Xenopus tropicalis: one gene and its partners. The protein of the gene in region 1 interacts with the protein of each later gene in a pairwise test. Links are inferred from orthologs where the notes say so. Each region holds a gene or a part of one and is shown in the gene's direction. Other genes may lie near its edges.

Region 1 (6,348 bases):
TGTCCATGATCCCTTTCCGACACATGTAGTATGTTATGTACCTAAACTAGTCTTTATAAGATTTAATGAGCCACTATAAAAAGTTTGCCGTAGAACAAAGCTAAATACTGCTGAATACATATGCTGACATCATTTTATGGTATCACTATGTCCAGGCACTGTTGATACTAAGTAATGTTACATTTATGTTTCTCATTCAGCAGCCAAAACCTAGAGGCATACTTATAGTCGTTTTTGAGGCTGCTAGGTTACATCTCTCTTTTGGCTTCCTTTAAATGATTATAACACAATAAGACAATAATTAACAGGAGGTGATAAGTGGTTCTTCTATTCCTTAACCTATCCTTAACCTTTTGTATTTTTTGTGGCTTAGGTATTGGCAAATTCTTGCAATGTAAGCTATCTAAAAGAGGTTACTGCTAAGACTTGCATATACCAGGTGTCTACAGTGTAATAGTCTCAGACACATACTAAAGAACAAACAGTAGCAGGAAAGTACAGTTTTAATTCCAAAATGCACTTTGCAGAGGCCTTTAAAGTGGCTACTTGACCAAACAGCACTCAAAGCGGTCACCTTTGTCACAGATACATCTGCAGAGAAAAGGCCCTGTCTTGTGTGTGCAGTGGTAGGCACAGTATTGACCCACCAGCATGCAAACAGTGTGGATATTGGTGCAACCATGCACAGTTTAGTTTTTCTGCACACATAATTTGCACCATGTGCACACTAATGGGCCAATACCATGCCTGCCAGTTCTCACACAGGGTGGGGCAGATGAAAGCAGATCGGCCTTTTCCATGCCGGGGCATCTATGCCAGTGAAGAAAATTCTGTGTGCCATTGGCCTAAGCCATTATTTATTATCTCCATCTATGTTGGAGATTGACTGATTGTTCTGTCTGGGCCAGTGATCTTTAGCTCTTCAATATGGTATTCACAGCTTATTTAATGTATCTGACTTTCCACAATATACATGATTCTGTGTGGTAGTTTTCTTTTAATATTGGATAATGTTAAAATTGAATGGATTGTAATATACTCATAATAATAGCTACACAGTTCTATACTAATTTAAATCATTGCTAAGAAATACCTTTTGAACCTACACAATAGTTTTGCTTTCCTTTTTATTATGAATGTCTGGGGGTGCAATTTCCAGTGGGTAACCTGCTTTACCGATTTTTTTAAAAATAAAAACCATGGGGCCTAAGGGGCAAAGGTTGTTGATTACCTTGGTCTGTCAGAAGGTGAATAGCTTCCTCTGCGTCTCTCACTGAGAAATCGAGACCTGATGGTGAAACTGGTTTAGCACAGATAAAGAGCCGCAGAAGTGCCAGGAAAGTTCTGTTTATACAAGGAAAAATCAATAATCACTCTGGAAATGACAGGAATTGACAGGATTAGTAATAAACAGAATTTCTTCGCAGGCTATTTTCAATGTTCAGCTGCACCTGGAGGATTATGAGCTGGCCAGCCCTGATGCACATGAATGCTGCTGTGCATATATCTGTGTTGTTCTGGCACATATTTATGTAGGTTAAGAACACAGATAGCCATATCCCTAAGCCACTTCCTGTCTAACTTTTCAAGATGTGTTTTTCCTTGTGGAGTAATATAAATTGAGGCAAATATTCAACTAAATACCCTCTCCCCTCTTTCATTACTTCCTGTAATAAATAGTTTTGGTGAATAGTATGCAAAGTAACCCCCCAAACTTAAACCACTGGCTGTAATAGGCAAATAAATGAAATATCATTCGTGGCCCTGTGCTGTAACACCTGTGGCCTTTGCCACAAAAAAATGACATCGCAGATACTAATAAAGATTTAAAATTGATATGGAAACAATTCACTCATGCTCCTAACCACCAATACCCTGTAAAGAGCAATTACTCGCTGGGACAGTGCCCTGGGAAAACTTCTCATATACATGGAAATCCCACAGCACTAATGCCTTGCCAAACAATATGTGAGCCAGTGGCCCCATGTCCATGATAGGAAAAGCAAGAGAGAGTTATTCAGGGCCACATTTGCACTCGTCTGGGCAACCAGCACTGTGTATGCCTTGGCACGGCGCATACTGCTCAGCACTCCATAGCCGCAGCCACATAGAATATGAAGGACCTGCTGACACAGCAGAGGAACCCTGTAACTTCTACATCATTGCTGAGTAACACACAGCTCAGCTTTATATACCCCTTGAAGTTATTGCAGCCCTACGTTTTCTATTTTCTGCCAAGCGGTGTCGGGAGCGCGCACTGAAACACTGACTCCATGTGCTCGCCCCCTCCCTCACGGCCTCTTTTCTCCCTCTTTACATCACACTCTATTTGCGCGCTCCTGCACTCCTTGGGGCGGGTCCATCGACGGCGGTGGGCGGAGCCGCTAGGAGTTGTTCTGAAGAGGCAGCCAGAGAGGGCGGCGACATACATACCGTACTAATACCCGCCCCTTTTGCGCGTGTCCGTGCTAAAATAGGAGCCTGTGCTCTGGATGTAGGGGGAGAGCTGCTGAGAAATAGGGGATTTACCATATGTAAGCGGGGCGTTTGGCTTAATATTTCTTGACGACTAGCCCTACGCACTTACCTACACAGGTGCCTTGGGGTCCGGGGTGACTGTGGATGTGTGTCCGGACCCCGAAGAGGTGTGAAAAGAGGACCCCCCGCCCCAGGGAGACAGTTGAAGGAGGAAGAAGAGGAGGAGGAGGAGGTCAGGAAGAGCTGGGTTCGTGTGTTGCACCCACACTTTGTTCGGCACCGGGATTGGGGGCAGGTAATGATTTGTCTGTGCTTTCATACAAATGATTGGTCTCCCATATAAAACTGGCTGTACAAAGGGCACAACAGGATGTATAGGTGTTACATGTGCCAAAGATTGGGAATGCAGTGTATAGATGTGTCTATGTGACCCATAACCTATATACAAATGTAAGGGTACATCAGCTCCCACTACATCGTGTTGTGCAGCCTACAGCTGGCCAGATGGGCTACCATCCTACTAGCCAGGCTAGGACTTTCATATACAGATGTGCTGTACATTAGGGAGGGAACCATGTTACACACACCAAGCTTCACTCAGTGTAGATAATGGAATCTTTTCTGCATTCAGTCAGTCATGGTTGTCCAGCCTGCTGCCCTCATGCTGGGGTTTCACTACAACTCCCAGCATCCCCCAGTATGCTTTGGCTGGTGGGGTTTCTTGGAACTATGGCTAAACAAAAGGTTGAGGGCCGACCATTTATAAGCAGAGGATGTAGCCCCAGACAAGGACATATGTAAACAATTCAAGTTCAATATTAGATTCTGTGTTCCAAGGAGCTTGCACTCATTCTTATTATCATTTTAGTGTGTTGGTAGTGTACAGTTTGTACATTATTTGATCCAGTTTATTAGCAAATCTGTAATTTGTGGATAGTGTAGCTCAATGCTTGCTCAACCTATTGCATGTAGTTGGCTAATTATCCAGTAAACCACATGTACAGGGGCTGGACTTTGCTGAAATGATGATGTCATATAAAGTCTTTGGAGTCCATGAGCCTGCTGGGGGCCATGAAAAAGACTTGGAGATCTACATCTGGCTTGTGGGCTTCCAGTTGGACAGCGGAGGTGTAGCATATACATCTTGATTTTGTTTTCATTGTGCACTCAACTAATAGATATGTGTGCAATACTGACAGTGTAACCAGTGTTGGATTGATTAAAACATGTTTTGCCTGACTCTTAAATGGGAATTCTGTTGTACAGTATGTTGACTTGCTTTACTTGTTCAACGTGCAGGTGAAAAAAGTGCATATATCATTATATCATTTCCTGTAATGTTAGTTCTCTTAGTATTAAATGGCCTAAGATAGCCATGTGCACAAAGATCCACTTGTTTAACAAGGTTACTAAATGAGTTGACTTTTGCCTGATTTTGGGAATATTGAGTGACCCATATTTGTTCTGATTTTATTTTTTCTTCCTGGCTAACAGAAGAATCACCCTAGGGGCCTATGCAGACACTTCAACCCAATAAAGACTTCTTAGATGGTATAATTTTCAAACCAGGGCAATAGATAAATGACTGATCTCCAACCCAGTATTGGAGGGCTTGGCTTGGAGTGGCTTAATCAAAGACAGTGTTGGATTTTTTGTAGTCATCTTAAAGCTAATGATACATGCTTTTCAGCTGGTTTACATGTAGGGTTGCCACCTTGCGGGTAAAATTGATCCTTTATGATTGTAATATTAATAGGGACAATAGATAAAAAAAATATAGGAAGGCTGGTATTTTTTTCCAGTTGGTGCTTTTAGCCAGCTGCTGAGCACCCATGATTTATCATCCTAAGACTTAGAGGGAGATTTATCAAAATGTGAGATTAGAGCTAACCACAGAAAAATTCACCCACTTTCTATTTATTCCTGAGGGATTTTTAGAAACATATTTATCAAATGATGGACTCTAACTTTCACCCTCTGATAAACATGCTTCTAAAAATCCCATAGGAATAATTATTTGATAAATACATTTCTAAAAATCCCTTAGTAATAAATAGAAAGTGGGTGAATTTCAGAGTCAGCTGTGCGACTACACTCTTTATAGATATAATCTATATATCTATATCTATATATATAATTATAAATGTAATCATTTTATGAATAAGCAAGTTTTTTTTAAAAACAATTGATTGTGCAAAGAAAAACCCTGCACAATGGGAAAAAAACAGTAGATACCAGATAATAAAACAACTTACTAGTATTTTCTGACTTTGTTTTAGCTGAAACCCTGGATTAAATGATCATATAATCAGCCACTTAGTGTCTGTTACTTGCATTTTCATAGCATCAAGAGCAAAGACACATTTAGCTACTTAGTAGCAGCTACTTGTCATGGCTACAGAATGCCAGAAAATACCCTGCCATATACAAGACTGAGAATTGCCTCTGCTAAAATACACGTAGAGACAATTATCAGTAAATTATCAGCATTGTCTGTTTTTGTAGCTGCTACTAGTAGCTCCAGGTGTCTTCACCCTAAAGGGGATCATAGTGACCCATTTTAAGAACTTCCTAACTTGATAACTCAAGCCCTACAGAGAGAAAATGAACTGAATAAGTCACATAAATAAAGGAAAATATGATTGGCATGTAGCAATTTAAAAACATCCAGTGTTGTGCAGAATGCTACACAGACCGAAAGCTGCAATGTCATGTATAAATCGCTATGTGAGTCTGATGGAGAGATGCAGCTAAACCATGAGTGGGATAGCACTGTTCTTAGCAATAGGCCGGGGATAGCCAATTGTCCGCAGTCAGTGAACTGCATCTCCCTCGTGCATGTAGAGACATGATTGCAGTTAAAGTGGCTTAGTGGCTGAAGCACCAAAAATACTCTGTGCCATAATCATGGTTTCTTATTGCCCAGCATCTAAAACACATACAAATTTGATTTCAGACATACCAGACTACATGTATTAAAATACAAAATGTGTAGTACTGTGTGTATGTACATTCCGTGATTTACAGCCATGTGGCTCGTGCAAGCTTTGTGTGGCATATGTAAATCTCTTGTATGATTTGAACAATTTGATAGAACTACAGTATTTATGTCAGTTACTTTACAATGTGAACATTCAGCTAATCTATACCACCTGTGGATGCACAATGTGCATGATATAAAATATATTGTGTGTAAGTATATATTTTCTGGTTTTAAAATGTGAAAAGGATTCTGAGTGATTGAATTGTAATCTCATGATAGGTATAGCAAGTAAACAGACCTCATGCTCTGTGCTTTAGTAAACCAACACTAGAAGAAATGCACAAGAGTCATATGGCACCTCTTTATGAGTGTGGTTTTACATTCCACCCACCATTTGCTTATCTAAGATAAGCACATTTGATCAAATTGATGTGTACAATGTTATAAATAAAGCTTTCTTTTTACACTTTCCATTGTAGGAAATGTTTTGCTCCTTTCACCCCCACAGATGCAGTAATTGCAAGCAAAAAGCAGACATCCTTTTTAAATGCTATTTCTTGCAATAGAGTCAATTTACCATGATGAATGTTAAGCAGGAACGTATAAGAACATGTTTTTTGCAATTTTTCGTGCTTTGCTTGTAAGTACTAATGCATTTGCTGGGTCCAGACCTGCTCACTAAAATTATGTCTGTTTTTGCCCTTCAAAATATTCCACATTTGAGTCCTGCACCATACACATACAAATTCCTAACGCTTAGGAGCAAGTGGATCATTTCAGCAATCATATATATACTAACTGCTTGGTGTAATAATTTACACTACTGACCATTCATATGAATATTATAGGAATCTATATCTACTGGTTACTGTAGAAGGAACTTCAAG
Region 2 (6,415 bases), on another chromosome or scaffold:
ATGTTTAAATGGCACAATCCAAATGCAATTCCACTGTAGTTCCCCCAAGGATATCTTCATTTACACAATACATGCTCAGATTTTATTGTTATCCGACTGAATTTTTCTAACCTGGCCAATCAACTAAGCAACTGATTGTCATAATACAAACATTTTTGGGACGATAATTCTGGGCCCACACACGGTCCAACAATAGTACAAACTGGGTTTTGTATGATTTTATCGGTGTGTGTATGGCCAACTTAAAACTGTCTGATAACCTTCTTACCTTTACTGTATTTACAAGCGTCCTAGAAGCTAATATAACAGGGTGGCATATTTGTAGTAAAATGAAGGCGTTACATGCATTTATATTATTATCTATATGTCCTGTTATAAGGAATAGTGAATGCGATAATGACCGTGTTTTCTTTTTAAATGTATAGTAGCTTGTATGGTTAGGGTTGCCGTCTGTCCGGTATTTTTAGCATCGGTAAAAAAGGTACTATGGGGAACGGTTGGGAGAGGACTGCACCAAGGAATTGATGTAGTGCCCAAATGATGGGGAACAGTGATACAGAGCACAGTCCTCTGCTACTCATTAACTGCAAACCCTAAGCCGGTTGGCACATACAAGCTTATTGTAAGTATTGTTCTGCCTAGGGGAGGCAGAACAATACTTACAATAAGCTTGCATTATAGTGCTATAAACAATATGCACAATATATATACAATATCTATGTACAGTGGATATAAAAAGTCTACACACCCCTGATAAAATGTCAGGTTCCTGTGCCGTACAAAAATGAGACAAAGATAAATCATTTCAGAACTTTTTCCACCTTTAATGTGACCTATAAAATGTACCACTCAATTGAAAAACAAACTGAAATCTTTTAGGGGGAGGGAAGAAAACCAAAACAACTAAAATAATGTGGTTCCATAAGTGTGCACACCCTCTTCTAACTGGAGATGTAGCTGTGTTCAGAATTAAGGAATCACATTACAAAATCATGTTAAATAGGAGTCAGCATACACCTGCCATCATTTAAAGTGCCTCTGATTAACCCCAAATAAAGTTCAGCTGCTCTAGTTGATCTTTCCTGACATTTTTTTAGTCGCATCCCACAGCAAAAGCCATGGTCCACAGAGAGCTTCCAAAGCATCAGAGGGATCTCATTGTTAAATGATATCAGTCAGGAGAAGGTACAGAAGAATTTCCAAGGCATTAGATATACCATGGAACACAGTGAAGACAGTCATCATCAAAGGGAGAAATATGGCACAACAGTGAATTACCAAGAACTGGACGTCCCTCCAAAATTGATGAAAAGACGAGAAGAAAACTGGTCAGGGAGGCTACCAAGAGGCCTACAGCAACATTAAAGGAGCTGCAAGAATATTTGGCAAGTACTGGCTGTGTGGTACATGTGACAACAATCTCCCGTATTTCTTTTCTTACGAAGAAAAACATCCAAGTCAGGCTACATTTTGCAAAAACACATCTGAAGTCTCCCAAAAGCATGTGGGAAAAGGTGTTATGGTCTGATGAAACCAAGGTTGAACTTTTTGGCCATAATTCCAAAAAATATGTTTGGGACAAAAACAATACTGCACATCACCAAAAGAACACCATACCCACAGTGAAGCATGGTGGTGGCAGCATCATGGGGCTGTTTTTCTTCAGCTGGAACTGGGGCCTTAGTTAAGATAGAGGGAATTATGAACAGTTCCAAATACCAGTCAATATTGGCACAAAACCCTCAGGCTTCTGCTAGAAAGCTGAACATGAGGAGGAACTTCATCTTTCAGCATGACAACGACCCAAAGCATACATCCAAATCAACAAAGGAATGGCTTCACCGGAAGATTAAAGTTTTGGAATGGCCCAGCCAGAGCCCAGACCTGAATCCGATTGAAAATCTGTGGGTTGATCTGAAGAGGGCTGTGCACAGGAGATGCCCTTGCAATCTGACAGATTTGGAGTGTTTCTGCAAAGAAGAGTGGGCAAATCTTGCAAGTCAAAACGTGCCATGCTGATAGACTCATACCCAAAAAGACTGAGTGCTGCAATAAAATCAAAAGGTGCTTTAACAAAGTATTAGTTTATGGGTGTGCACACTTATGCAACCACATTATTTTAGTTTTTTTGGTTTTCTTCCCTCCCCCTAAAAGATTTGTTTGTTTTTCAATTGAGTGGTACAGTTTATAGGGCACATTAAAGGTGGAAAAATTTCTAAAATGATTTATCTTTGTCTCATTGTTGTACAGCACAGGAACCTGACATTTTACCAGGGGTGTGTAGACTTTTTATATCCACTGTATATACACATTATACATTGTGCTGGAACTTGAAGCACAAATATTCGTGTGGTAGCAGTGAAGGGAGGAAGGGTAAACGTCAGTGAACAATAAGTTTCAGTTATACACATATTTATTATGATGATGGGGCAAAGACGGAATTAGAGGCAACGTTGACCTCGGAATATTCACTTCCTTATATTTTCCAATGGAGGGGGAAACGATTCCCTATATAAGCCCTGGGAAGGGGCACAGGATCAGAATGCTTCAGAAGTGACTGCAGCACCGCACCGACTGCATCACTCCAACACTTTTTGATGTTTCCCAAAGGCCTCACAAATCACCCGTTTACCTTTCGGATGTAGCTGCCTACGTTGGATGCATAAACAAAGGAATAGGAACTAAAAGGACACGTCCTGACCTACGAAGTTGTCTCTTGAATAAGAGAACCCTATATTAGAGGGCTAGCGGAGAGTGAGTGAGTGAGGGAAGAGTGGCAGAGGGGCGCGCATGCGCAGAGAGCTTGTTTTTCCCAAAGCCGCACATAAGTGAGCCGGCACACTGCAGACAGGCGTCTTTGTAAAGAGACCATAGAAGAGAGCACTGTGACAGCAGCTGCTGCTGTTACTTCTCCTACCTGTTCTTCCCGATGAGCTGGCCGCTGGGCGAGCACTGAGCCTGCCTGCAGTCTCTGCACGGCAAATGCATACTCCAGTGCTCTGGCAACATCGCCATTGATGTGAAATCGGAAACTTTTGTCTCCCCCCCAGAATATTTTTATAGCCCCCTTTTACAATCATGGTGCTGGGGAAGGTGAAGAGTTTGACCATAAGCTTTGACTGCCTCAATGGCAGCCACGTCCCCGTCTATTCCAGCGGGGATGCAGTCTCAGGAAGGGTCAATCTGGAAGTGACGGGGGAAATTCGGGTGAAATCCCTGAGGATCCATGCCAGGGGGCATGCAAAAGTCAGATGGACGGAATCAAGGAACGCTGGCTCCAACACTGCCTATACCCAGAATTATACTGAAGAAGTGGAGTATTTCAGTCATAAAGACATCCTGATTGGGCATGAGAGAGGTAAGGATGCTGGGGCTTTTATGGGGTGCTGGGGGTACCTGATATTGGGGTGTATTGGTTATCAGTCAGGCAGCCATTTATTTGTGTGAAGTTGTAGCCTTTATATTTAGCTGAGGGGCTTGGGAGTTGTAGTTCTACAGCATCAGCATAGTGCTTTGTTATTGAACTTATGGAACGGTCATTGCCCATTTGTTTGCATTGTGTGGCTGTATATACAGCTGCTGTGGGCTCCCATGGCTGTGCCCAGCTCGCCAGCCTAACTGGAAGGTGTGTGCCGCAGAGCCCGGGCAGCCTGTTGGGGAGCCCAGTGAATATGGGGGTGATTGGGCATGGGGGGGGGGGCATGGGGAGAGTTGAAGAGTCATTGCGAGCAGGGTGGGGGAAGTGAAGGAATCATCTTGTTTTTCTGAAGTTTACACCACCCTTTGTTAGAAGCGGTTCAATCCTGTTTTCGGCTAGTGGTGTCAGTGGAGAGAGAAGTGAGTGGGAGGGGGGAGCTGCGCTGCTTGCACGGGATTGGCTGATGGGGAGTCAGGTGGTGAGCAGGCTGAATCGCTTCCAAAGGAAAGAAGCACTGAATAACAGCAGTGTACCCCTCAATCCCTGCTGGGCGATATGTGGGTACCCACCCCACTCATGCATGGCGCATCCTTTGCACCTTCATTCAGTACAAATGTCTATATTTTCCATCGTTATTGCACCTCATAACGTTAGTATCACGCTAAGGAGCTGGCATTGCTGTTCCATGAATGGCTTGCAACTCTATATGGCTGCCCGGTGATACCATTCCAAGGCAGCGTTACTTGCCAGTGCTGCATTGCAATGAGTAGTGCTAGAGTAGTGCTGAGGGCAGTGTTTGGGCAAGAAGTGAGCGGCTCTCTGTACAATATGTGGTGCTAGCCTCCATGACTTAGTGGTATAGAGGTGCTGTCACTGAGCAAGTGAACGTTGCCGGACTCCATGCAATACACAGGGTTGGGCTCTCAATTCCAGGTCAGTAAGGGCTCGTAGGAAAATAAAGTATGTGCTGTGTATTAGTGGAACAGTGTAAGGAGCCAGAGTACTGGCAGGCTCTACTGCACAATGCTACTAGGCGCTAAGTAAGCCGGTCTCAGAGCTCAGTAATGCACCAACAGGTGTCCAGCCTCACACAGTGACTAGCAAAGCGCCCAAGGCATTGTTTCATTGTAGTGTGCTGCGAGCTGTGCCATTCTACCTCAGCAACTTACAGGTTAACAGTTACAGTTAGGTGCAGCGCCACACTAGCTTGCTTGGTGAGGGAGGAGGAAGGAAATCAGTGCCGCGCCCAACTCGCATTCGATTGGCCCAGAGCAGTTTGTTAGGCTGTTGTCAAGACAACGGCCGCTGAATGCGATTGGCTGGCCTTGTTGCTTAGGGCGCCAGGGAACAGGTGGAGTGAGATGGGCGTGCCCGTGACGTTTTAGCCTTCCCTGACGCTGCTAGTCCGCTGGCGCTAGAGCAGGGGGCGGTGATAGAGTATCAAGCTCATGGCTTTATTAGCGCAGCTGCCTTTATTGTGTTGCAGGGACTGTGTGTGGAATAGGCGTGCGTGTGATTGAGCCTTATCCTTATGCTCTATACTTACAGGGTGACTTATAGTTCATTAGCAGCCCACTGGTCTCCAGAGAGATACTTTCATCACATAATGCTTTATACTATGCTAGGGAGCAGTGCTTACAGCTGTGTAAGCCATTTATTATACCGGTCCTAAGCATTGCTAGTGCTGGCTACACACGTAGTATCGCTCTGGGCATTGCTAGTGCTGGCTACACACGTAGTACCGCTCTGGGCATTGGTAGTGCTGGCTACACACGTAGTACCGCTCTGGGCATTGCTAGTGCTGGCTACACACGTAGTACCGCTCTGGGCATTGGTAGTGCTGGCTACACACGTAGTACCGCTCTGGGCATTGCTAGTGCTGGCTACACACGTAGTACCGCTCTGGGCATTGCTAGTGCTGGCTACACACGTAGTACCGCTCTCAGCAAGAATCCAGCGTGGTCTCCTGTACACCCGGAAGCTGGGGGCGGGGGGAGGAGGTGGGCGGAGACATGGGTTAGGCTGCGCTCTCTGCGGCTGAGCTACGTAATAGCTATGCATATGAGGGACTGGCTGAGGTTCTGCTCGCACCGGTTCAGGCCGGTCCTCTCCTGCTGGAGTCTGCTTGTGATTGACAGTTCCACACTTGTTTACCACACTGTGCGGCTGCCTCTCTCTCGCCTGCTCACTTTGCAGCACATTGCTGAGCTGGCACAAAGGAAGAAAGTAAGGCAAGGGGAAAAGTGCTGCTCCATTAAGAAGAGAAACATATCAAATTATATTCAGTCAAGCAAACCGACTTAAATTACCAAATCACGTTGTGCTACCTATAGACTTGCTATAATATACCTCAGATTTACTATAATGTACATTTATTTATTTGTTTTAGCAGCTGCTCCCCTTTGTATTTCGGTCAGCTTTCCCTAGGTATTCATTCAAACAAGTATTAACCTTAATTCTTGTTTTATCATCAACTACAACCCACAATCCCCTATATAGTCAAAAGCCGCAACTGTAGGTGGTGCTCTACAGCTCAGCCTTCACTCAATTACAAATATATATATATAATTGTAAATTTGCTAAACTGGATCCTGCCCAGGATGCCAACCAACAGAATGTGACTCAGCGCTCACACACCCATGAGCAGATACAGTATCTCCCAGGTGTGTGCCAAGGAGTGGGGAAGGTCAAGTTGTTTACTTCAAATAAGCAGGCCCCTCCCTGAGATCTCACCTTCCCCGTGCGGTCACGGAATTTAGGATTTTATTGTTTCCCAGAGGGACTGGTTTTATTGGTTTGCTTAGGAGCACTTGTTCTGCCAACGAGGTGACTTATTGTTTCCCCTGGCTATAAGCTGTCTCTGTCAGTCACCTTCTGTTTCACACATATTCATTGCTATATTGTTCTGGTATGTATACTGGGATATGTAGGCCACAAAAGGAAGCAGTTTCGTTTACCTTCTTCATTAAGGGTGAAGACACATGAAGCTACTAGTAG
Region 3 (6,431 bases), on another chromosome or scaffold:
CAGGATAAGTAGAAAATGCAAAATACCTGTAGTAATGTGAGACCCCAAAGGGATGAGAATTTAAATTAGAGATAGACACTTATAAAAAAAAACATTCAGGCCAAAAGTAAATGTCATCTTCAAAATATGCCAAAGATTTTGTTTCATGAAACATATTAGCACTTTTTCCAGTAACAAAACTGCTGTTCTGCAGGCCCCAGTGCAAAATCTGCACTTTGTACTGCACCCTCTACTCCCTATCACAGTGCTTCTTCTGGGAGCATGGCTGCTATTGTGTTGATAGCCCTGAAAGTGGGCTTTATGGGGGAGTGGGAACCTCTTGACTCCAACCCCTGATATTTATATCACTACTTTTTTTCCCTTCTTTTCACAGTCACCTCTGTGATAACATATATCACTGTTAGGAAAGGGGAGGTAAAATATATCTTCTGTGGGTGCAAACTTTATTTGCATTTTACATCATAGGTAGATTTTCAATAAGGCTAGGGGAGGCTAAAAAGGATCTACAGCAGTGCTGTCCAACTGGCACCTGCGGCCCCCCCTCTCTGTGGCCCCACCGCATGTCTGACTCCTGACCTTTGTGTAAGATTTAAGTGGTACCAGTACTGAGATTAACTGGCCACCTGCATTGTTCACACTTCAGATTCAGGCTGTAAACCCCTGTATTGTTTACATCTGTAATCTCCTTTACTGTTCACACCTTTTAGTCCCTGCATTGTTAGGGTAGGGCAGGCAGAGTATGGCACACAGGCAGCATGGGGCAGGCAGAGTATGGCACACACAGGCAGCATAGGGCAGGCAGAGTATGGCACACACAGGCAACATAGGGCAGGCAGAGTATGGCACACACAAGCAGCATAGGGCAAGCAGAGTATGGCACACACAGGCATGGAAAGGCAGGCAGAGTATGGAACACACAGGCAGTGTTCTGTGTGTGCCGCACACAGGAATTTTTACACAAGGTAATAAAGTAAAAATAAAAATTAGGTTTATTTAGTCCAACGTTTCAGTTCCTACCTGAAGAAAAGATACACTTTTTTTATTGGCATCTGCCCAACCTTTATCATAGTGCAGGCCAGAGTTTGGTAATTAAATAAAGTGTTTCCTGTTCTCCACGAACCACAGAAGCAAAAATGTGTGCTGCTGCTATGAGAAATTGGTATGTGGAGTGGGTGATTGTAGCTAGCAACGCCATTGGCACCCCCATCTGGAGCTTCAGCATTAACGTTATGATGTTAGGGCACCTACAAAGGCTTTGAATCAAAATTTTCAGTCCTGCCCGATAAACGAGACGACCGTCATTCAAGGCTTTTGCTGATATTGGTCACCTTGTGTCCCACCAAACAAGCGCTGTTTTATAAGATAATTACAGTGCATTTATGGCCACCTTTATACTTCATTGAAGTCCTTTGTGTTCACCTAAACCAAAAATGCTAACTATGTCATGTGACTTTAAAGCAACTATTTTTAGTTTCCAAATAATGCAGTTAGGACTTGTTATGGTATATAGATAAATTCAAATATGGATTTGGTGGATTCCTAGGGGCTGATTCACTAAGGTACGAATATGAATCACGAAATCCGATCATTTCTGATGATCGCAAATGTAACGAAAATTCTTTTTGTTTGGATATGAAAATTTTGTACTTACGATGCAAAAACAAAAATGTTGCAAAAAATATGCACAGTTCTAATACTTAGAAAAAATACAATTTTTTTGTGTTCGGACTTAATCGTACTTTGACAAATGGGCCCCCAAGTGTGCAGATAAGGCCACACAGTAATGTAACTACAGTCCTATGGGCATTTTGCCAACATTTGCACCGAGATTGATTTATGTTTTTTTTTTAATTAAGTAAATCAAGGTTTATTAAATGATGAAACACTGACATTTTTTCTAAATGCAAATATCAATGCAAAATTGACTGCATTTATTTTATGCAATCAACCCTGTATTGCCCAGGACTGCATTTATGTAGGGTTCCCTAATGTGAGGTGATCCGGTAACCTTGCGCTATTTAGATTTGCCAATCAGTTTGCAGGCATGATAAATGAGCCCCGCTGATTCCATCCCTCAAAGTATGACAGGCAGGAACGGTTAACCCTTTCCTTTCCAGTTGGGTTTGGTTCGTTTGCACACCAGCTCAATGCTATTCATAACTGAGAGCGCTGAGTTGTGCCTCGCTGAAGTCCATAGACATATCTGTAATGAAGCATCTGATCCTCGGCTGGCAACGGTTAATGTGCAGGCTTGGAAAGTGACTGAAGGAGGAGAGAGCTCTCTTGCGCATGCGCCTCTCAGGCCTCTATTGTTACAGCCCAGCAACAAGGAGCAAGTCAGATTGAGGTAGCCAGCGAGACAGAACGCTAGCTGCTGCTGGGCAAGGAGAACTCGGGGCCGAGAGTTCGGCCGATTGGCCAAGGAAACCTATGGGACTGCTCGGCCTGGCAGGGAACCAACAAGGCCAAAGAAAGGGGATGCGGATCTGATGGGCCCCGTAGCTAGGACTCCTGAAGAAGAGATCAGCACTGCACCCTGCCCGGTGCCCTTATCCAGGCGAGTTTACAGGAGTGTAGAAGCGTCGGGGCACTTACTGAATGAGCTCAAGAGCACTAGTTTGGCTTGGACATTGGAGCATCGCACAGGGGGGTGCTTTCCAGTTCAGTAGCTGCTGGCCGCACCCCTGCCGGGGATAGGGAACCTCAATCCTACGGGGGCTGCTTTCCCTGGCAAACTTCACTGCGGCAGGGAGGGATGCTGCCGGCTCAGAAGCTACTGTAATATCTGCCGGGGGCCTACACAGGACTGTGCGCCACATGGACCCCTTCCCTCATGAACTTGCCCACTTTTAATAAGCATAATTGACGAACTGCCCCTCCTAGACTTATATTTGCCCTCCGTTCTTCTCTATCCACCAAACGCGCACACAGTGCCTAATTCTAGCGCTGTGTGCCCCATGGGGGGGAAGCAGAGCTCAGCCTCCCGCTCTCGGGCTCCCTTCCCGGGGGTTTCCTCGGATGACAGTGCCGTGCCCCCCTCCTCAAACTTTGGACATTTTCGAGCCGGGGGCGCCATGGGCCTGCGCAGCCGTTCTGTTAGCTCTGTCTCTGGCTTGGACCCCCCAGCCCCTGGCCTACCGTTTGGCTTATACCGAGCCGGGCCTGACACCGAGAGAGGGGGCAGCTCAGGGAGCGAGGACTCACGGGGGGACCTTTACCTTGGGTCCCGGGCTTCTCTGGCGGACACGTTGCAAATAGCACCGAGGTGGATAGGGGCACACAGCGGTGAGTCCCTTATTTCTACTTGATGGAATATTGTCTGCCATGGCCATTTACCTTGTGCCAGTGACTTGAGATTTTGTGAGGTTCAGTTTGCATGCAGCAGGAGGCCACCAATATGGACAGTCATTTCATTCCCTCCTTTGTTAACACCAACTTTGAAGCCACATTTCACTTAATGTGCCTAAAATGCCAACATTTTATGTGAATCCATAGGCTGAGCTCTCAGTTGGCATCTTTGTTTTTAAGTGGTGTTTCTCATAAGTGGTTGCCTCTATTAGTGTCTTGTAGTTATGAGATGCCATCATGTACTTATGAGGTACCATGTTATCTCCTCACTTAGTCCTATATATTTTTTTTTTTGTTAATAGACCAATTGAAAGTAGCTTTCTATATTGAGGTTTATAAGCAGTAGGCTTGTCTGTTTCTCTATCCATCTCATCGTTTTTATTCTGTACAAGGTAAAATACATCCCTTGCTCTTAAGGTTGCCACCTTCTCTGGAAAAAAGTACCAGGCTTCATATATATTTAGCTTTCTTGCCTATTAATAACATTGGGATGAAGCATCATTTTTACCAACCAGGCCTGTAAAATACCAGCCAGGTGGCAGCCCTACTTGCACTGGTGCAACAGATAAAAATATTATTTGCATTTGTGCAAAAGGCCAGGTATTACTGCTGCTTTATAACTGGTTGGCATGAATCCTCTCAGGTATTTCAATGAAAATATGGAATGTTCTTTAGCTCCATGGTGTCAGTCTGGAGTGAAATGCTGTGTAGTGTTTTCTGGAGTATTTTTGTGGACTCACTTCTTGACTCCTCTGCTGCCCTACAATGATTTCCTATAAGTGTAGACTCTTAAGATTGTAAATAAAATGTGACATCTATGGCATAATTCCCTATATACAAAGTACATTAGGTTTTAGTAATATGTGTATTGTTGGGTGGGGAAATATAGTTAATGTTTTTATAATCCTTTTTATACTTATACAGGGATTGGTGCAAGAGAATTTATTTCTCTCATTGACAGTTCTTCTTTCTTGGGGGATATTCATTTAAAAAGCTGCAGGCTTGCACTGCTTTACAACTGTGTTTATGATTGTAGGATCAGAATCATAAAGAAATAGACCCGAAGATTTCTGGAAATATCAAGTGGTGTAAAAGGTGGCTGAAGTACAACAAATAAAACTGCTGGATTAAATTTTAAAAAGTCATGAAACCATGGGGGAAATGTAATAAGTCATTAATGAAAATATAAGTGCAATGAAAAATTATTCCTTTTGTGCCAACAATTTTTCCTTTTGAACAAATTTAAAAGTATTTGCTAACCCCATCCCTCAATGGAAGTTTGTTCTAGTGGGCAGTGTAAGTCCCATGTATATGTCTCAAGTCCTTTGAATTTAAAAAAAAAAACAAAAAACTGTGACTACTTCAAATGGTCAATGTATATACTGACTAATGAAGACTATTACAATGCAAAATGCTATTTATTTATGCTAAACATATCCCCATTTATCTCTTGTGTAACGTAAATACAGATATAGCATCTAAATTCTGGAATGCCAGGCACTAGAGAGTCTACACACACAAATGGCAGGTTTTTGTTGAATAAAAATAAAAACACAAATATAAATCCTGTCAGAACTTATTCTACCTTTTATTTCAAAATTGCAACCTATACAAAAGTCAAAACATAGGTGGAGGGTGACTTATTGTTTGGGGAGGCTAAAGATGGGCCTAAAGCTAATGTGAGATTTAGTGGATCTGCTGCTGGCGTAAAAAAAATAAATAAACCTCCAAACTACCTCTTGCGGTTCCAACTGACTTACAGGAATACTGTGCAAAACTGCAGGTGGGAGTGCTTTTTTCACCCTAAATTGCTTAGGACTGTGCTGTCCAACTGGCGACCCTGCATTATTCACACCTTAGGCTCAGACATTAAGCCCCCACATTGTTCACCTGCACTATCAAAGCTCTTTGATAGCATGGTTTGAAGTGGGTGCAGTTTAAAAAAGGGGAGTGGTCAAAACTGGCTTATATTATCGGCCCTCCACCATGTAGGCCAGAATAATTCTGGCCCTCGGTACCACAGAAGTTGGACCGCACTGGCTTAGTATGTAAAAGTATTCATTTGTTTGTTATCAGTTAACTTAAATTTTATTTAGCTTAATAGTGAGAAAGGCAGTGGGTACTGACATCCCAGGCACATTATATATGGTGAAATGTAGTCTATATTTACAAAACCAGCACATTATATGCAGTGAGTACTAACACCCCAGGCATGTTATATGCAGTGAGATGGGTACTGATGCCAGATGTTCTGGGGCTTTAACCTTGGGACTGAAACACATTTGTTTTTTTTTCCCAGTTATGCAGTCTCATGAGGGCTCCACTGCAACTAACTAGAAATGAACAAAACAATGACAACAGTAAGAAAAAAAGTGCAAAAATATACATAAAAGCACAATAAGCTTTTTCAGGGGGAAAGAGTTAATTTAGGACTGGAGCAAGGGCGATAGGGACATTATGGATGCCAGGTGACAAAAAACTACTTAATTTCAGCTAGTGATTCAGCCTCTCGAACATATATAGTATAGTACCCATTGGAGTGGGATGACGATACAGTATAGTACCTGTGGGATGAAATCTGCAGCTAAAGTTCAGAGTTGGTGAGATTCTTGGGTAAAGTTTATAGCCTGTGGATCCTTCTTAGAAATATTAATTTCTGCAGTGTCTTCAGTTTGTAATATCTCCCCAGCCCTGCCTACGTCTGTGCCTTGATAGACTTACAAATTGACTTGTCAAGAGAGCTGTGCTCTGATTGGGGGTGCCTCAAGTAGAAGGATCCAATTAGAGCACAGTTGAGTACAACAAAACCAGAGCTAGCAGGAATGCAAGAAGATTTCCCCAATATTAAAAAGTTCCAGAACAGTGCAGAGAGTGAGTTGTGTTTTTGTTAAAGGTGCCACGCAGGTTTGGGAAGGCTTAGTCTCACCTGGCCTTATTGAAAATCCACCTATGAGTCAAAAGAAAAAAATAAATCATAGAAGAAAATTTCCAGATATGTCAGATTGCAAGAGCATCTCCTGTGCACAGGTCTCTTCAGGTCACCCTGAAGATTTTTAATTGGATTAAGGTTTGGGCTTTGGCTT

The links. The genes of interacting proteins can lie anywhere in the genome.
Region 2: the proteins of ube2e2 (region 1) and arrdc3 interact in binary tests that used the Homo sapiens proteins (3 or more experiments, as listed by UniProt). The two-hybrid records come from large-scale screens. The link is inferred for Xenopus tropicalis from reciprocal best matches to the Homo sapiens genes UBE2E2 and ARRDC3.
Region 3: the proteins of ube2e2 (region 1) and znrf1 interact in a two-hybrid assay, tested with the Homo sapiens proteins (2 studies listed by BioGRID and IntAct). The link is inferred for Xenopus tropicalis from reciprocal best matches to the Homo sapiens genes UBE2E2 and ZNRF1.

What each region holds. Positions count from the first base shown.
Region 1 is NC_030682.2:46,325,538-46,331,885, forward strand, and holds the start of ube2e2 (ubiquitin-conjugating enzyme E2 E2), read left to right. Parts: upstream 1-2,458; 5' UTR 2,459-2,773; intron 2,774-6,348.
Region 2 is NC_030677.2:178,684,774-178,691,188, forward strand, and holds the start of arrdc3 (arrestin domain-containing protein 3), read left to right. Parts: upstream 1-2,889; 5' UTR 2,890-3,078; coding exon 3,079-3,358; intron 3,359-4,973; exon of another isoform or gene 4,974-5,644; intron 5,645-6,094; exon of another isoform or gene 6,095-6,326; intron 6,327-6,415. UniProt on the Homo sapiens protein: Adapter protein that plays a role in regulating cell-surface expression of adrenergic receptors and probably also other G protein-coupled receptors.
Region 3 is NC_030680.2:74,534,477-74,540,907, reverse strand, and holds the start of znrf1 (E3 ubiquitin-protein ligase ZNRF1), read left to right. Parts: upstream 1-2,905; 5' UTR 2,906-2,957; coding exon 2,958-3,285; intron 3,286-6,431. UniProt on the Homo sapiens protein: E3 ubiquitin-protein ligase that plays a role in different processes including cell differentiation, receptor recycling or regulation of inflammation. Mediates the ubiquitination of AKT1 and GLUL, thereby playing a role in neuron cells differentiation.